Linked DNA regions of Yarrowia lipolytica. Each later gene encodes a partner of the first gene's protein in a complex. Links are inferred from orthologs where the notes say so. Each region holds a gene or a part of one and is shown on either strand. Other genes may lie near its edges. The genes, in order: YALI1_E31248g, YALI1_D31568g, YALI1_A05473g and YALI1_C26580g.

Region 1 (7,776 bases):
TTTCTGGAGGCCAACAGCATACTCTTATACTGACCTCGTCAAGACAGACTCCTCACACAGAGTTCCAAATAGCCTTCCACAAGACATCTAAAGCGAGAACCGGTCAAAAGTCAATAGTACAAGTAACCACAGGTAATGGTGACTCAGAGAGGGGCAGATATATAGAAGGGAAGATTGAGAGGCATGTTTGTATTTTTTGAGGCCATTAGACGTACAGAATCATTCAGGGAGTTGATATCAGACTTGGGGATATCGGGAATAAGACGTTGACTCCATATCTACACACTTCAACCATCCATTGACGTATCCAACATCGTACAGAGTTGGAGCTAGTCAATCTTATCGGGCCAGACAAGGGTTACGACAGAAACTCGTTAGTGGCTTTTCCACAGTGGGAATCTCTATGCGCAGACTGAGATAGTCTTCGGATGTGTAAAGATATACACACTGGCTGCTTCCGCGGAGTATAAGTGAGATATGCGGCTTCCCTTAACTATGGTAATCATGGCCAACTATTCTCAACTAAATGTAAATTATTCAACTAAACCCAAGTAATGTAACGTACATATGAACTGTTATACGGCCATAAAACAACCCAATTCCACATCACCACTCGAATCTCCTCTGACAAGGCATCTAATCCCCGCCCACTCCTCAGAACTCCTCCATCTTACGTGCTGTCCCAAAATTTCACCCTATAGCTCATACATTTCACCCACACCGCATCCAAATGCCTAAACAGGAAGGCTTATCGTGGCTAATCACATGTTTGCAAAAAGCATGCAGAGTTGGGCTGAGAAAAAACACTTCACACTTCATCGTGCGGGCTTACCCAATCGGGAAATTGCATCCGTAAAACTTCTAGAGAATGAATATCACCGAAAAATGCTGGAAAAATAGGGTAAAATTAAAGATTAGGAGAGGTGTAAGAACAGGATATGACTGTTTTTTAAGGTACAAGTAGACGCAAATGTTTGAGTGGGAAAATATTGCCGTCTCAGCTTTGTAATCTTGGCCGTAGCAACTTTTGGCGGTTTAATTATGCTTACCGTTAGTTGTCACAGGTTAAGAGTTAGTCTATTAACTAGATATTTAACTATTCAAAATGAGTAAAATCAACTCCACGAATTTAAAGTCGCGTCCCATTTTTCCCCCTCATATCTCTAGTAATCTCAGACTGCATCATAGAGCCATTAATTATCCCAATTGGGACAGGCGCAACGCGAAACTTTGAGCTGTGTACTAGAAGCGTGTCATAGAGTGAGGGGGGGTTTACAAGACGAAACAAGGCGTTTGAGGGTGACAATATATGGCCATTCGACCTCGAAAACATGCGGAAATTCTTATGTGTACATTTTTCCATTCTAGAACAACTTCAAATTATATATATATATACATGAGGAAATGCAGAAACTTCAGTGTGCTTACATTACCTTGAACTTGTACTTTTGTATTACAGTTTTGGTTGGTGTTTTCTCCAGACCACGCAAACAACCCCTTCATTCTGGTAGTTGAGATCACTTTTTGAGCATTTTAAAGATTTGAATGGTTATTTAAGTGTCAAAATATCCACTTTCAAGCTCCATCTTTATCTCAAATCTCCTCCATTGCTGTGTGAAAAGCACGGTAGAAAAACACCCCTTGGTTGAATAAGGTTGGGTGTACAGCTACACCAATATTTTTACGCGTCTGAATATTGACCCACTATAACTACATCTCAACACCACACTACATAACACCCATGGGTCGACCTTTTAACGGAAACAACACCCATGTGGTGAAACAGCGCAGTGACGAGTTTGAGCGGCGAAGGCTGGAGCGGATCGAGCAGCTGGGTCAAAAGTTTGCCGCAGTCGAACGCCGAGATGCCATAGACGACCGAATGGGTTTTACTCGCTTCTCTGGCGATGAAAAACGAGTCGGGTGGCTGGTCAACATGCACGAGACGTTGCTACAGTCGGAAACGGCCGAGCGGGGCCTGGCAGCGGTGGACTACTACTTCTACGACGAGGAGGGAGGCAACTTCAAGTCGACGGTGGTGTTCCGGCCCTACTTTTTTGTCATTTGCAAGCCTCATACTGAGCATGCGGTGAAGGATCTCATGGAAAAGATGTTTGAGCGGGTGCTCGCAAGCACGGAAATTGTTACAAAGGAAGATTTGAACTTGGTGAGTGATAACAAGCAGCCCTGGATGAGTTGAGTGGCAGACATTGCAATGAGTGGGAGAGATAACGAACTCTCAGCATCTCGCTGATTGCAGTGAGTCCATTACTGCTGAGTGATTCTTACTGCTGTGATTCTTACTGCTGTAATTCTTGCTATTAAGCCGTGTGTGACAATTGGCTAACACAGACAAACCATCTCACAGGAAAGAAACGAAAGGCGGTGAAATTGGAATTTCACAACTCGGAGGATCTGAGCTCGACACGTTTCACGCTCAGCAAGATTGTCGACCGACAGACACAGCAGACAGAGCAGCATCTCAACATTTATGAGCTTGAAGGGTGAGTAAGAGAAAGAGGGGAGAGGCAAGAGAAAGACTGTGTTGAAGTCACGTGGTCAGTCTTCAAACAAGATGTTCAATATTAACCCAGCGATGTGGACACCAGCACAGACGTAGAATCATCCATCACTGGCATCAAGGAATTTGATGTGCCGTTTGAAACCCGAGTGGCCATTGATCTGGACATTCGTGTGGGAAACTGGTACGAGGTCACCAAGGAAAACGACACGGCTGTGCTCAAACACATGGTTGAACGAGAGTACCGAGCCGATCCAGTCGTCATGGCATACGACATTGAGACCGAAAAGGCTCCCCTTCGTTTCCCCGACTCAGCCGTCGACAGAATCATGATGATTTCGTACATGATTGACGGCGAGGGTTTCCTCATCACCAACCGAGAAATGGTGAGTGAAGACATTGAGGACTTTGAGTACACTCCCAAGCCCGAATTCCCCGGTAATTTCACCATTTTCAACGAGCCTAACGAGAAGGCTGTGTTGGAAAAGTGGTTTGAGCACATTCGAGACGTGTGTCCCACGGTGATGACTTCCTACAACGGAGACTTTTTCGACTTCCCATTCATCGACAAACGAACAGCCTTCCATGGAATGAATCTCTACGACGAGATTGGATGGAAAAAGGTGGAGGAAGAGAGATACGAGTGTTCCTATTGTGTGCATATGGACTGTCTCAACTGGGTCAAGCGAGACTCGTACTTGCCTCAGGGTTCTCAGGGTCTCAAGGCTGTGACAAAGGTGAAGCTGAGTTACGATCCCAAGGAGCTCGATCCGGAAAAGATGACTCCTTATGCACGAGACCATCCTCAGATTCTCGCGGAATATTCTGTTTCCGATGCTGTGGCCACCTATTATCTCTACATGAAGTATGTGCATCCGTTCATCTTCTCTCTGTGTTGCATTATTCCCCTCAACCCCGATGCAGTGCTACGAAAAGGTACAGGTACTCTTTGCGAGATGCTCCTCATGGTCAAGGCTTATGAGGGACGCATCATTCTTCCCGACAAGCACAAACCTGCTCTTGAGCGTCATTACAAGGGTCATCTGGTCGATAACGAGACGTACACCGGTGGCCACGTGGAGTCCTTGGCTGCTGGCGTGTTTCGAAGCGACATCATGGTCGATTTCGACATTGATACTAACAGTATCGACGAGCTACTGGTCAATTTAGACGAGACTCTCGAGTTTTGCGTCACTGTTGAGGCTGGAAAGAAATCGTCTGATTTTGAGAACTTGGATGAAGTAAGAGACCAGATCATCGAACAGCTTCAGGAGCTCAAATCCAACCCCAAGCGATCCGATTACCCGCTCATTTACCACGTGGATGTCGCGTCTATGTACCCCAACATCATGACGACCAACCGACTTCAGCCCGACTCCATGGTAGACGAAAAGGACTGTGCTGTTTGTGACTACAACCGTCCCGACAAGACGTGCGCACGTGAACTAGAGTGGGCTCGACGAGTCGACTATTACCCTGTGTCAAAGGGAGATGTCAACAACCTAAAGCAGGGTCTGGTTGAGGAGTACTCCGGAGGTCGTTTCGGAAACGGCTCATCTGTCGAGATCTCGTACGATGAAGGTATGACTGAGCGGGAAAAGTTCCAGAAACGAAAGGGCTGGGCTGGATTGTCTGGTCAGGAGCAGGCTAACAAGCTCAAGGAGCGAGTGGCGGCCTTTTCGCTCAAGACCAAGGCTCGAAAGACGGACTCGGAGACGACTGTGCAAAAGACCATTGTTTGCCAGCGAGAAAACCCCTTCTATGTCGATGTTGTGCAAGAGTTCAAACAGCGTCGAATCGACTACAAGACAAAGGCGAAAAGGTGGAACAAGGAGGCTGCTTCTGCTTCCGATCCTGCGTCTCGAGAGGAGGCCAAGAAGATGGCTATCACCAACGACTCGATGCAGCTGGCCCACAAAGTCATTCTCAACTCCTTCTACGGTTATGTTATGCGAAAGGGTTCTCGATGGTACTCCATGGAGATGGCCGGTGTGACTTGTTACACTGGAGCCAAGATCATCAAGATTGCCCGTCAGACAATGGAAGGTCTTGGTATTCCTCTTGAGCTCGATACAGACGGTATTTGGTGTATGCTGCCCAAGACCTTCCCCGAGAAGTTCAAGTGCAAGTTTAAGGATGGTTCCAGCTACGAGCTTGAGTATCCCTGTTCTATCATGAACTACTTGGTGCACAGAGACTTTACCAACCACCAGTACCAGAAGCTGAATCCCGAGACTGGGAAGTACGACACTCATTCAGAAAACTCCATCTTCTTCGAGCTCGACGGACCCTACAAGTGCATGATGATGCCTACGTCGACTGATAAGGGTAAGGGTCTCAAAAAGCGGTACGTGGTTTTTGACGACCGCAATAAGATTGTCGAGCTTAAGGGCTTCGAGGTCAAGCGACGAGGAGAGCTGTCGTTGATCAAAAAGTTTCAGTCACAGCTGTGGGACACGTTTCTGGAGGGCTCCAATCTCGTCGAGTGTTATGCTGCTCAGGCTCGAGTGGCTGAAGCTTGGCTGGCAGTGATTGACTCTCGCGGCAAGAACCTATCCGACGAAGAGCTCATTGACCTGGTTTGTGAGAACAAGTCCATGTCCAAGCCTGTGCATGAGTACGGCTCTCAGAAGAGTACTGCTCTGACGACTGCCCGTCGTCTAGCGGAGATTATGGGCGACTCCATTCTCACGGGAGGCAAGCTGTCAACCAAGTACATCATTGCGGTTCGAACCAAGAACTCCATGCCTGTTCCTGAGGCTAAGAAGGGTTCCGACGAGGACTCTTCAACTGCTGATCGAGCTATTCCCACTCTGGTTTTCGAAACCGAATCTCTGGACGAAAAGCTGCGGTTCTTGAAACGGTGGATGGGCCCTCGATGGGAATCCACGGACCCCCGAGACGTCATTGACTGGATGTACTATCGAGAACGTCTGGCGACGACTATCAACAAGCTTGTGGTGATTCCTGCCATTCTGTTGGGTCTCAAGAACCCCGTTCGAGGCTGTGATCCCCCCGAATGGGCTTCTGACATCATCAAGCAACGAGATAACCCCATCAAGCAGAGCACCCTGAGCTCTTATTTTGTCAAGGGTAAACTTCCCACTCCTGAGCCCATTCTCAGTGAAGAAGATGAGGTCATGGAGATCCAGGTGGGCGACATTGAAAGCATCGGGACCACTCCTTCTCCTTCCAGACCCCCTGGAGTGCCTGCCCGAGTGGTTGTGTCTAAACGAGTGCGCAAAACTGTTGAGGAAACGGACAAGTCCACTCCCTCTCTTCCTCACAAGGCCCCCGATCCGTTCGCCGACTATGCAGCCTACATTAAGTACGCCAAGGTCAAGTGGAAGCATCAGAAGGCTCAGCGAGACCGAAGAGCCCATCTTTTTGGCGAGTCCGACAATGGCATCGCTTCTTCGTGGGTGTCCAAGAACGCCCACCTGGCTCAAGACGCCTGGCACCTGGTGTCCATCCATGCTGCCGAAAAACCTGGCCAGGTGGAGGCCAGCGTCATCATCGGAGACAAGATGCAACGGGTGCAGATCAATGTGCCGCGCAAGGTGTACGTGGGGTCTCGTGAGCCGCTGAAGTGGGATAAGTTCACTGACGTGACCAATGCCATGGCTGTGGCTGAAGAGGAGCAACCCAAGTACCTCTACCGAGCAGTCATGTCTGAAGACATGTACCAGACGGAGATGACTAACCCGGAGTCTCCGCTGAAGGACCCTCACGTGACGAAAATCTACGAGGCCGACGTGTCGCCTGATTCACGTGCCCTCATTGAGCTTGGATCCACATTCCATCTTGATGCCTCCACTCCTGGTATCCTCTCCAAGGGCTTCACCCATGGCTTTGAGGCCAAATGGTTCAAGTCAGGTGACTCGCGGTCCTACCTGCAAAACTCAGGACTCTCCTACGCTCACATTGTGCACGTGGTTTCTTCTGCCGTGGAGATATTTGTCATCACACCCACCTGGGACGCACCAGCTCTTGTGTTTGTGCACCAGTCGTCTTCCAGTGAAAAGTTACCTGACATCTCGAAGGAGTACGCCCGTCTGCGACGTGGAGAACGGTACAAGCAGAACATGGACGATTGCACCGTCTTTTCCTTCCCCGACACAATGCAGTACGAGGTGGAGTACTGTTCCAACCACCGACGAATGCTGCAGAAGGTGTCCAAGGCGTGTGACTCACTGTCTGGCTCCCGAAACGGCCAGCTGGTGTTTGCACTCCATTCTCCGGACAGAAACGTGGATGAAAAGGTGGCTGCCCTGGCCAGAATCCCCTGTATTCGGCTGAGACCCGTTCCTCCGTCTACTGCTGCTGTTGGATGGCAACGGGATCTGGTTCGACGGCTGATTGCATCGTTCTTGTCACATGGAGCCAACATTTCGTACCTTGTCGAGATGGCTCGGTATGCCAAGATGCCTCTGTGTCATGTGCAAGATACCCGGGACGTGATTGACGTATCATACGCTCGTCGGCTCATCCAGAACAGTGTCGTTTTGTGGTGGTCTGCTGCTCTGTCTACCGGAGGAGCCCTCACTGACCAGGCGGAAGTGCCTGTCGCCAACAATCCTGGACTGTACACCAACATTTGTTTCGAGATCAAAATCGAGCATTTGGTGCTCAACGCCTTGTTGCAGAGTGCTGTGATCCAGGATACTGAGGGAGACATTCACAACGAGCTTCTCTCCAACGCCTTCAACCCCCACGCCCTCAAAACCCTCAAAATGGTGGTCAAGGAGTGGTGGGAGCACGGGGACAAGAAACGGCCTCCCCAGGATCTGCTGGACAACTTCACAGTGTGGGTTTATGCGCCTGAGTCGCGTCTTTTCTCCCCCCAGTTGCTGTACCACACTCAGAACCTGACGAAGAAGACCTTCCTGTATCTTGCTCAAGAGTGTCGAAAGCACCAGGCTCAGTTGGTGTACGCTGATCAACACAAGCTTGTGTTGCAGACAGAGAAGACGGAGCTTCAGCTGGTGTACTCGTACTCCAACTACATTGTTCGGCAGATCAGAACCCATCCCATTCTCAAGTATGTCTCTGTCGACATTACTCGCTACTGGGACACCTTCCTGTGGATGGACAAGTGGAACTACGGGGGCTACTCGTCTGACGTCATTGTTGACCCCTCCAAGCAGAGCGAGTCTCTGTTGATGCATTGGCACATTGCCAACTTCTTGCCTGAGACTCTACAGCAGGAATTTTCCAAGTGGGTCCAGGAGTACATTCATTTGTTGCGGCTGCGG
Region 2 (4,947 bases), on another chromosome or scaffold:
AATGTAGTCATCACAAGGCCAAATTAGTCACTGCGCATTCCATGTAGTCAATACCACACAGTCCATGTAGTAATTACGCAGTCTCCGCCCAGTACACGTAGCACGTAGACGGCATTCCAATCAGCAGCAAAAGAAGAGAGTTTCCGGAGTCCACCTAACGCGCTGCGCCCTCACATTCCTTTTGTGTCACTGACAACACTTACCGAGCTGTCATAAAGTGGAGTGTAAGAAGAGAAGAAAAAAAAAAACAAATCAACTTTATAGTGGTTGTACAGTGCAATTCGACCAGTCAGATCTTATACTACAGTGTACCAGACCCTGGTATTGAATACTGTACCTGTTCGCACCCCTGAGACACTCAGTGAAACCTTGGTAGGTTCACGAGAGCACCAGAAGTTATTTCTGGGGTGGTATGTTTCTCACCAGTGCGTTTTTAAACCCGTTCCGTCACAACACCATAGAACCAAGAGATATAGATTATTTAGTGGTACCGTTGGAATGTGGAGATGATAGCGAGTAAAATGATATATTTAACGGCCATAAACAGGTTTATGTGAAATTGATAAGTCTGTCTGACGTGAAAATGTATAAAACTGACAGACTTTTCAGTCAGTCAGTTGCGTCAAGTCTGTCAATTCCAGACGATTTTGTTTGAATTATTTTGAATGGACAATTTCCACTCACGTTATATTCATTACGTGAAAAAAAAAAAAAAAAAAAAAAAAAAGCTCAATTCCACATCACAGAACGTCCTGGAGTCAGTGTTTTTTTTTCTTCTTTTATTTTTCCCTATAAACTGTCAAGTAACTGAATTAGAACAGTTAACGATGTTGAGCTTTTGATGAGAAATCTCCTCGTCTCTCTGTTTAAAAACATCCATAAAATACCGAATATCGATATTTACAAGAACCGCTGTATTATCTGGACCTCAACTTACCGATCGATACTATCAAAAATTGCTTTCTATACTCAAACACCCACCGTGTTTGGCTGCTGTCTCCAGTCTGTCAGTTGATGGGATTGCCAAGTGAATAGTTAAGAATTGTTAAATCAAAAAACCGGCTTGAGGTCGCATTTCCATGTTCCATAAATTGAATAGAATATATTTCGATACATGAAGATACAGAATAAATGAGTTTCTAACTGATCCTAAATTGTGGTTATTTTGGCATCAACAGAATTTCATTCTGGAGATGGTCATAAAATTGCAAGCAGGTATTTTTGTTGAGACCTTTGTTAGAATATTAACAGCACCTAAACAAGAACATCTGTTTGTGTTTTTTTTTGTTCTGGAAAAATAAATAATTAATAAATTAATAAAAAATAAAAAATAAAATAAAAAATAAAAATACAATATAAATAAGTAAAATGCATCCAAGGACGTTTCAAGCGTTTTGGGGGTGATTTGGTGAGTGAATAACACGAGCATACTTAATCGTTGCTGTTCAGTGGATGTTAATTAATTTTTTATTATATTGAATTCTTTAAAATAAATTTATAACCACTATTGTAACATATTGTGGTAACACTGTAAGTATTTGTATTTTGTATCCACTGATCCACGAACCCCAACCCAACCAACCCTAACATCAACCTAAAACGCGCTTCTACGTTAATTGAAATTTCGCGTTTCAAATTACAACCACTGATACACCTCTACAGGACGCTTTTACAGGACGCCTCTACACCTTCAAAACCGCTGCTGCACCGCCACAAAACACTCACGTGACACGTGACAACCCAACCGAGCGCCCAAAACACATTTTTACGCACTTTTTAAGCACTTTTCGACACTTCGACACACCTTTGAACACCATGTCTCTAGACTGGGGAGGAGGATTGTTTGGGTCCGGGAGCGCACTGGACGAGCTGCAGCGCGTTGGAACGCGGTCACGTGAACTTCCACGTGACGAGTCCGATATGGAGCTTTCCGAAGGTTCTGATCTATCCATGTCTGCCGAAGAGGATGAGGGGGAGGGGGAGCGGGGAGGTGAGGAGGTAGAACCGACCAGCGATCCCATGACCAACCACGTGACCCAGATGTGCGACCTGGATAATCACATGACGCGCTTCCCGTCGCCGGCGGCGGAGGAAGATGACTTCATTGCGGAAATGTTGAGAGCCAACGAACCCAAAGACTTGCCAGCTTCTGCCGCCTCCGCCGCTCCGTCACGTGATATGCCACGTGACCGCACTTCGCCCACCCGATACATCACGCTCTACTCCGGAATGACCCTTTCGCGAGCGAAAAAGTACATCAAAACGACCCGGCTCCGAACAATGCAACAGGAGGAGGAATCGCTGAAGAACCACTACGGAATCGATGTGAGCGGCATCAGACAGAAGCTGGTGGGCCAAAAATTCGACAGCAGCGAAACTTGCAATACGCCAAATCCTACCGCTGGAGATACCGGAAATACCCGCCCGAAAACGGCATCTTGCGATACGTCCAAAATTCCGGCAGACGCATTCAGCGATTCGAGACATCGTGCGGGTCTGCTCGTGTCTGGAATTGGGTCACGGGACGGCCACCTCTGGGTGGAAAAACTGCGGCCGCAAAAGCTGCTGGATCTGAACGGCCATTCCGACCGCCACAAGGACATTTTGTACTGGCTGAGTGAATGGAACTCCTTCATTTTCCAGACTCCGTCGCAGGCGGTGCAATTCAAAGCCAAGCAGCGGGAAAAATGGCTTAAAAAAAGCGGACGAATCGAAGATGCTGTCCACGCAGGATCACGTGGGGTCTACGAGGAGCGCGAGGCACGTGACCGCCCCCAGAAGCGGATCCTGCTTGTGCACGGCGAGCCCGGAACCGGAAAAACCACCGCCTGTGGGGTTTTGGCCCGGAATTTGGGGTTCAACACGCTGGAGATGAACGCGTCTGACGACCGTGGCAGCGAAGCGTTCCGACGGGGCGTTTTGGGTCCCATGAGAACCCACTCCGTCACTTCCAAAGACCGTCCTAACTGCGTGATTCTCGACGAGATTGACGGAGCGGACCCAATCTTCATCGACAAGTTGGTCAAGCTCGTGCAGCGCGACGAAAAGGAGGAGTTATGGCATGAGCGGAAAAACAGACATAAAAAGACCAGCGCCAAAGACAAACTCAACACCCTCATCAGCCGACCCATCATCTGCATCGCAAACAACCTCCACGGGTTGCTGTACAAACTCCGGCCGCATTGTCGAATCGTCAACTACGGCCGACTGTCGCCAGCTCAATCGCTGCGAATCGTGCAAAACGTGTTTCGAACGGAGATGAAGCTGCAAAAACTCACCTCCAAACAAAACAGATTCCTGGCAGACATCTGCAACTCCACCGACGGAGACATTCGACAAGCCATCAACATTCTGCAGTTTGGAACCCCCGAGGCCGACACGGCCAATCTGGTGGACAAGTCGGCGCTGTGGAACAACATTGTCAGTTCACTCTTCAGTCACGTGCCCGTGGGCAAAGACCGGGCTAACCACGTGGAAAACTTGTGCCAGAGATCGCTGCGATGCGGAGAATGGAATAAACTTGTGTTTGGAGCCTTCTCAGCCTACATCACGTGCCTTTCGGGAGCAGGCAACCTCACCCAACTCACCAACATTGCCAAACTCGATGACTGGTACCACCTGTACGACCTCGCCAACACGCTGGGGTCCCGCGACAGTTACCACCCGTATACGCTCGCGGCCTTCTCGCTGATGTTTGGATCCACCACCAAAAACCACGTGACCAACGTCGAAACCGACTACTCCCTCACCAACCAGACTCAGACCCAAAAGCTGCGTCTCAACGACATCTACAGCAACATTCCCGTCGAACTAAGGCGGTATCTCAACAAAGAAACGCTGCTAGATGATCTGGGAATGTTCCTGGACACTATGACCCGACAACAGAGAGGAGTCACCCCGGAACAAATGGCGTCTCTCGCAGAATCTCTCACCTCCCTGGGAGTGTCCCTCAAGAAGGAGAACGTGTACAATGAAATCTCCTCCAAGAGGGAAGACGTGTACGTGTTTGTGCCGCCGGTGTGCGACCTGTCACGTGCCCCGGATGGCCAGCCCCGGGACACAAACTCCGTGTTCCTCGAGTCCCTTTACAAGATCCTCACCCCGGACCCGACCCTCAAGCGGCCAGGCGAATTTTCCCAGGTGCAACCCAACAAGAGACACGTGGCGGCACATGATCTGGCACGAGACCCGGATCCGAGGACGCGCGGCGGGCCCCCGCCATCTTCGTCAACGGCAAAAAAGCCATCCAAGTCGTCCACCCTGCTGGACTTCTTTATCAAGGAAACGGTCGAGATCACGCCGTCGCAGGTGGTCCGCAACGAGGCCAAGGAGCAACAAGACACGCTGAACACGTGGGTGTCGTACTTTGAGGGCTACTCCAACGCTGTCCGGCGGGACCTCACCTGGGAGCAGTTGTGGATGGAGTAAGATACAATGAATACAAATGTATACAGTGTACATGGTCGCGTAGCAAGGCCAAGTAGGACAAACTTCTGTTGTGGACAGCCACGGCTTTGCTTGGCAGGAATGACTGCGATCGAGTTTTGGAATGTGGTGACTTTAGGACTGATTGGGGCATGGTCACACTGTCCGAGCCAGAAGTAGAACTACACACGCCCTCAATGCGAACTGATGACAGTCTTTGTTGCGCCCCATGGAGTTCTTAATGCCAAATGCTCGGCCTGAGAGGAGAACAAAGTCTGGGCCATATGGGGTCGGAAGATCTCAACAGGGTGACTCTAGAATTATGGTCAGAGGTTCAGAGTAGACAACAATCGACTCAGAAATGTACATGCACCCTGGGAGACCTGTCTGCGGGGGCAATGCCGCTTGGATTCGAGCCAGGTGAGCCAGGAAGTTTCATGACAGCTTTCACGGGTGGAAACCATGTGCGGAACGGTGAGTGGCGTGCCAGTTGGTTTCAGGTCACCATGCTGTGTCAATAAG
Region 3 (2,700 bases), on another chromosome or scaffold:
GTGATCTGGAGCGGGTAGGACGGGGAATATAACTGAAATTAAATACCCAATAATAGGGAAAACGTCGGGGAAAAAAAAAAGAATAAATCATTGAAACGATGGTAAACACAATGAAATACATTGTTAAGTTTCTACACATCTTTTTCGTCATCTTATATGCATTTCTTGAAAACACCAACTTAAGCCTATTGTTCTCGAGAGCGGGAATAGAAGGAAGCCGCAGAAAGCCGAATCCACACATATTTCCGGTAAATCAAAAGAGCAAGCTACAGAAACGTGCTTATTAAGCAGAAATGAAGACGACACATGGCACAAACACCGGCTCCTCGGCCACACTTCACCCGTTACTTGCTATTTGAACACCTTGTCTGATTGGTCATCAAGGGCCACTATCCGTTAACGTGTGGCTTGTCACCAGACTTGCACACTTTGAGGCTATTTTATTTGCTTAAATTGTGAGGAAGGCAAAAAAAAAAAAGAACAAATGAAAACACGAAATCCAGCCTGTGCCGTGCCATGCAATACAAGTAGCAAATAATATGACAAGGGGGACTTGTCTGGAGAGGTTGTTTGGAGGGTGTGGTAGAGGAATTGAGGGTCAATTGGCTTGAATTGATCAACACGTCTTCATGGTATTTGAACTTGAATTCTTTTACAACTACAATATTATACAATACGAGTTGGAGTAAAAACTCGTTTAAAATACAGTGTATATATTCATCCGACTAAATTTCGGATAAACAGGACTACTCAAAATAAGATTTCGGATCCCCCAACAATGCGGTTCAATTTGAGGAGTGGGTGAGGGGGATGTGTTTCAGAGGGCTTAGACTGGGAGCGGATGACACTAGAGTTGAAAAATTGGTCTGTTTCGTGCATTTTTGGGCAAGTTATAGAGATTGTAGTGGAGTGTACTTGTTCAACTATGTACGATAATTAGAAGGTTTTTGAATTTTTGATGGACAATACGAACACTTACGCTGGGTGTTACGTAAGGCTTTTTCAGCAACCAATGGAAAGGGAAAAGGGAGGTGTCCAAGGGAGGTGTCCAGAAATGAGCGTCGTGGGGTATTTGGCAAGTAGTATGAAGAGGTCGGCGATCGTGGTCAGGAGTGGTGCACTTTTTTTTAATCAGTTGATTCGTTTAACAGAATCTAGTGATTATATGATGACTTTTTTGAATGTTTTCGGAAAATCAGAAGAAATCATATCAAGTCACAGAGAAGAAATCAGATCGAGTCACAAAAACACAATCACTGAGTCAAGTATGTACATACGAGTAGATATCTGTGTTTCATCAATGTAGTTTTCGAATCGAAAATATAACATTCAAAGTAGATGTTGATTCAAGTATCGTAAAGTACGTACATACTGTGTATCGGTAGTTGCCTTCACTTCTGGACAAGGGTACAAGTACAATGTGTTATGTAGTGCGGCATTCGTACTCGCACTCGTATCGTACATTGTTCCTGTATTCCTACTGGATACATCATATAACCCGTTTTAATACCGCTTATTTTGTCTCGTGCCAAGGACATCTTTTTTCCCCCATTATTCCCCAATTCCCACAACAATCCTGAAAAAACAAATAAACTCGCCAAAAACAGGCCAATTTAAATTACGTGACGCAACACGATACAGCTGATGCGCCAACATCTCTGTTCGTCCATCAACCACACCTCACACCGTCACTTCCACAATGCCGCCCAAAGGACACAAAAAAACCGCCGACGGCGACTTCCGACCCGTCAACTCGGCCGGTAACACGATACAGGCCAAGCAAAAGTACTCGATCGACGATCTCCTGTACCCCAAATCAACCATCAAGAATCTGGCCAAGGAGACACTGCCAGATGACGCCATCATTTCCAAGGACGCGTTGACGGCCATCCAGCGAGCTGCCACGCTGTTTGTGTCGTACATGGCGAGCCACGGAAACGCGTCGGCCGAGGCTGGAGGCCGAAAGAAGATAACGCCCCAGGACGTTTTCGTGGCCCTTAAGGACGTTGATCTGGCTCAGTTTGTGCCCAGTGTGACCCAGAGTGTCAACGAGTTCGAACAGGAAGTTGCACAAAGGAAGAAGGACAAGGTTGTACGCGCCCAGGACGACCAGGACCATATTTCCAGCTCAGAGTCGGAAACCGAGGCGACAGAGGAAGAGGGCAACAAAAGAATTAGAACTGATGAGTAGAAGACGAGAAGGACAACGTGGCAACAGGACATTTAGATGCCATACTGAAAGATGCGAACATACTCAACACGCAGCTACGTGTGGTCAAGGTCACAAGCAGAAAGCCCTGATTGCAGTCAAAACACACTCTCCACCTGGCGCAAAAGCACAACCGACACATACGTTATCGCACGATAATAACCACTTACATACATGCCGCAACGGCATCAATACATGCACATTTATTTGATACACAGCAAGCCTACTGCCGTGCACTTGGGGCGGGGGTGTCTTAGATGCCCCGTTGTCATTGCCAGAACCCACGATGTAAAAGATCTGGACAGTTGCCCATATTGAATAATGAGCATGTCTTGATTCGCGTCGTACAGCACGACCAGACTATATGTTCTGGTCTCTTTCCGGTGACTCGAGCCTGTTTGTCATCCCAAGAGCGAGCTGACGAGTTCCACCAAATAAGGCAGCTTGTACTTAATGGTAATGGTCAGATCGACAGCTCAAGGCCTTTTGGT
Region 4 (3,350 bases), on another chromosome or scaffold:
TATATTTATTCGTACACACGACACAGCTATATAAGCACTTGTGCACTGCTGTACTGTCTTTTTGATAGCCCAGTTCGGTATCCAGTGTTTTACAGCCCACTGTCTTAAATTCTCTTTGAGGCTGAACGTATATGCACAGTGAATATCTATATTATTATCTCCTCTTCTTCCCCATTGTCATAGCCATGATACTCCGGTTACCACACGATATTCTGGTGGTAATCTGCGAACTTGTTTCACCAAGAGATCTTTGTGCTCTTCGTGAAACTTGTCAGCAACTCAGCCGCGATATTCCCGGGTCTTTCATCCTCGGATGTCTTCTCTCTGTGTGGGATTGCTGCAATATTGAGTACAGCAGATCGAACGACGATACTTGCCAGGCTCCGCACAAGCTGAACAATTCGCGGGTAGAGTTCTCAGATCAGGTCAAGTGCCCTGTCTACATTGATCAGCCGCTTCCACGCGACTTTTACTGTCTCTGCAAAGAGGTGGACGAGATCTTTCCCTGGGAGTACCACGACAACGGGATTTCTTTCGACGAGAAACTCTTGGATTTGACGGAGCATCCCGAAATGGGCCAAGGGAAGCCCAAGAAAGGACTCACGATGGGACGTTACTACGGAAGCACATATGCGTTTGGAGGAGCACCTGTGATCCAGACAAGACATTCTTCAAAGATGTTGGCTGGTGTGAGTGTTATAAATCTGATCTACTCTGGTATTCCCCAGACGAGAGGAATTGTCAACTTGGATGGACTTTCTCTGCCTTTCAGACTGCAGGTCAACGGAAAAAGTGTTCTTTTGCACGCTCGAGCCTGCGATTATAAGACCTCTGAAGTGATTTGTGTGTCCCCAGGTGGAAAAGTACATACTCAGAGGTGTCGACCCCGGAAAGCTGCTCCTGCTGGTATCGTTCACTACAACGACACCTTCTTCAACATTGATTTTCAAACCCGATACCGACTCCGGGTGTGCAAGTCTCTACATAGCTTGGACTCCGATCCACAACTAAATGAGCCGTACAAGGTGTATCAGGATGAAGAATATTCACAGTTCTGCCTCGTTTACAAGCCCACAGGAATTATAATAGGGCTAATTGACTTGGACAACCAGCAGACAGAAGTCTTTTCCGCACCAGGAACTGGATTTGTGGCCAGAAACTACAGCTCGATATCGTGTGAAGAATACCTCGTCATGGTTGGAATGTCCAAGGGCTCTCTTGGGATCTGGAAGTTTTCCATTAACCATCTCCGCAAGAGGTTCAGATTTCAACATGGAGATGGATTCGCTAACGCTTTGTCGCTAGCAGTCTCTCCCCTTGCCTCCAAGCCGAGATGACAGTGGTCTGATACTTCTTGAAATGTTGCTACAGTATGTAACTAATCGACACCATCCCGAGGCGGATAGTGGTCTTCAAAGGTGGGACTGGGTAGATATCACATGATCGGAGCTGGTTATCGGTTTGTGGAGGGGTATCCGAGTATGGATACAGAGAGAGGTACAATCGTCTATACAGAACAAGTACAATCATCTATACATACATGTGCTGTATATGTATTGTCGATCCCACTTATCTCACTCGAGCCAACGCAATGGGCTTATTGTCTTGATCGCTAAAGAATATTTGGTATACCATCTGGCTATATTGGATATTACTCGATTTTTGTTCCCATGTTTGAATATAAATAAATCGTCGCTATCCATTTTATCCGATTTTACTGTCTCTTTTACACTGTCCAGCTCCCTCCATCCACCTTTCTCATGCACGACGCGTCTAAATTAATTGAAACGTGTGCATCTCTTCAACACCACCATCATGAAGCTCAATTTTTACGAAGAGTACGACAAGCGACACATTTATCGGCTGATCGAGCTGCCCGAGCAGATTATCGGCGAGCTACGGGAGGAAGAGGAGGAGTACAAAAAAACCAAGGAACTGCAACATTACTCACTGACTCTGAGAGGCAAGGATCGGCTCGTTCTGTGCAACAAAAACACGACGTGGAACGTCAAGCAACGGAGCCAAAGCAACACCCTTCATCTGGTGGAGACACGTGACGATGGTCTCGCCAGCATTTGCATCACCCAGCCCATTTTGGAGTGCACTTTGAGTGAATCGCCTCAGTTGGACACCTCTGATCTGCCCTGTTACGACGGAGACAGTATCATGGGAGACCCGCGCATCGCCAAGCACGATCTGGACTCGTTAAGGAACCGCAGCAGCATGTCTGGAGTGCAATTCGACCAGGTTTGGGCGCAAATTGGAGGAGTGGAAGTCGATGGAGTGGCATGTGTGCTGGCTGATAGTCTGATCAAGGAGACAATAGACGATATTCTGACCTCGCTAGCATCACAGAAGCAGCAGCTTAACCTGGTGAGTGCATCTGACGTGGTGTCTGATACTTCTCCAGCAGTAGTTACGGCAGTGTTGAAGATGTTTGCTACAACGCCCATTGAGCCCTACAATCTCGATCTCGCGCACATCATCAGCTGGATTGGCAAAAACGCCCTTGGCGAGCCGGTGCAGATCGAACAGTTTATGATCATGTGGAAAAACTCGATTCCCATGATCTTTGACGAGGATATGGTCTCCCTGGACCTCATCAAAGGCTCCTATGCTCTTTGTGAGACTATGATTCACAAGCTCAGCGAAAGTGATTTGCCGCGTGACCCCAAGGAGCGGTTTGCTCGACTGTTCCAGATCAAGGACAAGTGGGAACTGGACGAAATCACACCGTTCATTGAACCCATCAAGATGAACAAGAGCACCAAGACGGAGAACTTTGTGCTCAAGTACGCTAAGAAGAGAAAGATCGGCGGCAAGGTGATGGTTTGTCGAGAGTGAAGAAACGACGACAAAGAACACAAAAGGAACAAACACAGTGGGATTATATTGAATTGCAAGTACAGATGTCAATAAGTAACCCCAGTCTGAGAACCCTGTAATTGAGAACTCTGGGACTGGGTACGCTGTCGATTCGAAGGACTGGCATGCGTTGCAACTTTTGCTTCATTTCTTTTTTTGCTGAAAGTCGCAGTCCGTCCCACATGATGGTATACAAACCTCTCCTGGAGGCTCTCCTCTGAATTGGGAACGATTCTAAGAAAATACAATGTGCTTCAGAGCAAACAGTTTGTAGTCATCATTGACGTTTCCGTCCATGAACGAAATGTGGGAACCTCCAGAGTGTCGCTGGTCCTTGTAAGATATGTGCAGCTTTGAAGGAGAAGGGGTCAGTCGCATGGTAGCATTAGACGGAATCTCGCCTACCAAAAGAAGTGAGCCAGTATCCTGGGACGTAGCCCGTCCTCTACGGCCAATTGTGCCGAAATCTTGAGAGAGATTTCGTC

What was found.
Region 2: the proteins of YALI1_E31248g (region 1) and YALI1_D31568g are in contact, whole or in part, in a cryo-EM structure (PDB 6S2F), measured with the Saccharomyces cerevisiae proteins. The link is inferred for Yarrowia lipolytica from reciprocal best matches to the Saccharomyces cerevisiae genes POL2 and CTF18. Residues at the interface, in NP_014137.1 of Saccharomyces cerevisiae: Glu333, Asp334, Phe335, Glu336, Tyr337, Thr338, Asn450, Ile452, Gln468, Glu472, Val475, Glu1038, Asp1039, Glu1040; in NP_013795.1 of Saccharomyces cerevisiae: Lys717, Trp719, Val720, Lys721, Gly725, Phe726, Ser727, Asn728, Ala729, Val730, Arg731, Lys732, Asn733.
Region 3: the proteins of YALI1_E31248g (region 1) and YALI1_A05473g are in contact, whole or in part, in a cryo-EM structure (PDB 6WJV), measured with the Saccharomyces cerevisiae proteins. The link is inferred for Yarrowia lipolytica from reciprocal best matches to the Saccharomyces cerevisiae genes POL2 and DPB4. Residues at the interface, in NP_014137.1 of Saccharomyces cerevisiae: Val1270, Gly1271, Trp1272, Leu1273, Tyr1275, Lys1277, Ile1278, Trp1280, Lys1281, Ile1282, Ala1284, Arg1287, Glu1302, Met1309, Ile1310, Lys1345, Asn1348, Lys1581, Glu1582, Glu1583, Arg1584, Gly1585, Leu1586, Leu1607; in NP_010406.3 of Saccharomyces cerevisiae: Ser18, Tyr19, Ile20, Lys21, Glu22, Gln23, Glu24, Ile26, Gln29, Asp30, Arg65, Val69, Asn72, His73, Leu76, Phe77, Arg79, Glu80, Val92, Asp93, His101, Ile102, Gly103, Ala106, Pro110, Arg112, Asp113, Asp116, Gln119, Glu123.
Region 4: the proteins of YALI1_E31248g (region 1) and YALI1_C26580g are in contact, whole or in part, in a crystal structure (PDB 5OKI), measured with the Saccharomyces cerevisiae proteins. The link is inferred for Yarrowia lipolytica from reciprocal best matches to the Saccharomyces cerevisiae genes POL2 and DCC1. Residues at the interface, in NP_014137.1 of Saccharomyces cerevisiae: Glu125, Gly126, Gly127, Val285, Phe320, Asp334, Phe346, Thr348, Phe350, Arg361, Glu364, His365, Asp368, Val369; in NP_009913.2 of Saccharomyces cerevisiae: Met356, Lys357, Ser360, Met363, Lys364, Arg367, Arg368, Lys369, Arg370, Gly372, Arg380.

The regions. Positions count from the first base shown.
Region 1 is NC_090774.1:3,123,126-3,130,901, forward strand, and holds the start of YALI1_E31248g (uncharacterized protein), read left to right. Parts: upstream 1-1,741; coding exon 1,742-2,167; intron 2,168-2,352; coding exon 2,353-2,504; intron 2,505-2,594; coding exon 2,595-7,776. UniProt on the Saccharomyces cerevisiae protein: Catalytic component of the DNA polymerase epsilon complex which participates in chromosomal DNA replication.
Region 2 is NC_090773.1:3,153,654-3,158,600, reverse strand, and holds YALI1_D31568g (uncharacterized protein), read left to right. Parts: upstream 1-1,815; coding exon 1,816-4,428; downstream 4,429-4,947. UniProt on the Saccharomyces cerevisiae protein: Essential for the fidelity of chromosome transmission. Required for the DNA replication block checkpoint.
Region 3 is NC_090770.1:545,683-548,382, forward strand, and holds YALI1_A05473g (uncharacterized protein), read left to right. Parts: upstream 1-1,699; coding exon 1,700-2,191; downstream 2,192-2,700. Other genes in the region: YALI1_A05459g (uncharacterized protein), read right to left, coding at 1-241. UniProt on the Saccharomyces cerevisiae protein: As accessory component of the DNA polymerase epsilon (DNA polymerase II) participates in chromosomal DNA replication.
Region 4 is NC_090772.1:2,656,544-2,659,893, reverse strand, and holds YALI1_C26580g (uncharacterized protein), read left to right. Parts: upstream 1-1,815; coding exon 1,816-2,844; downstream 2,845-3,350. Other genes in the region: YALI1_C26597g (uncharacterized protein), read left to right, coding at 132-1,337; YALI1_C26566g (uncharacterized protein), read right to left, coding at 2,913-3,117, 3,167-3,243. UniProt on the Saccharomyces cerevisiae protein: Component of the RFC-like complex CTF18-RFC which is required for efficient establishment of chromosome cohesion during S-phase and may load or unload POL30/PCNA.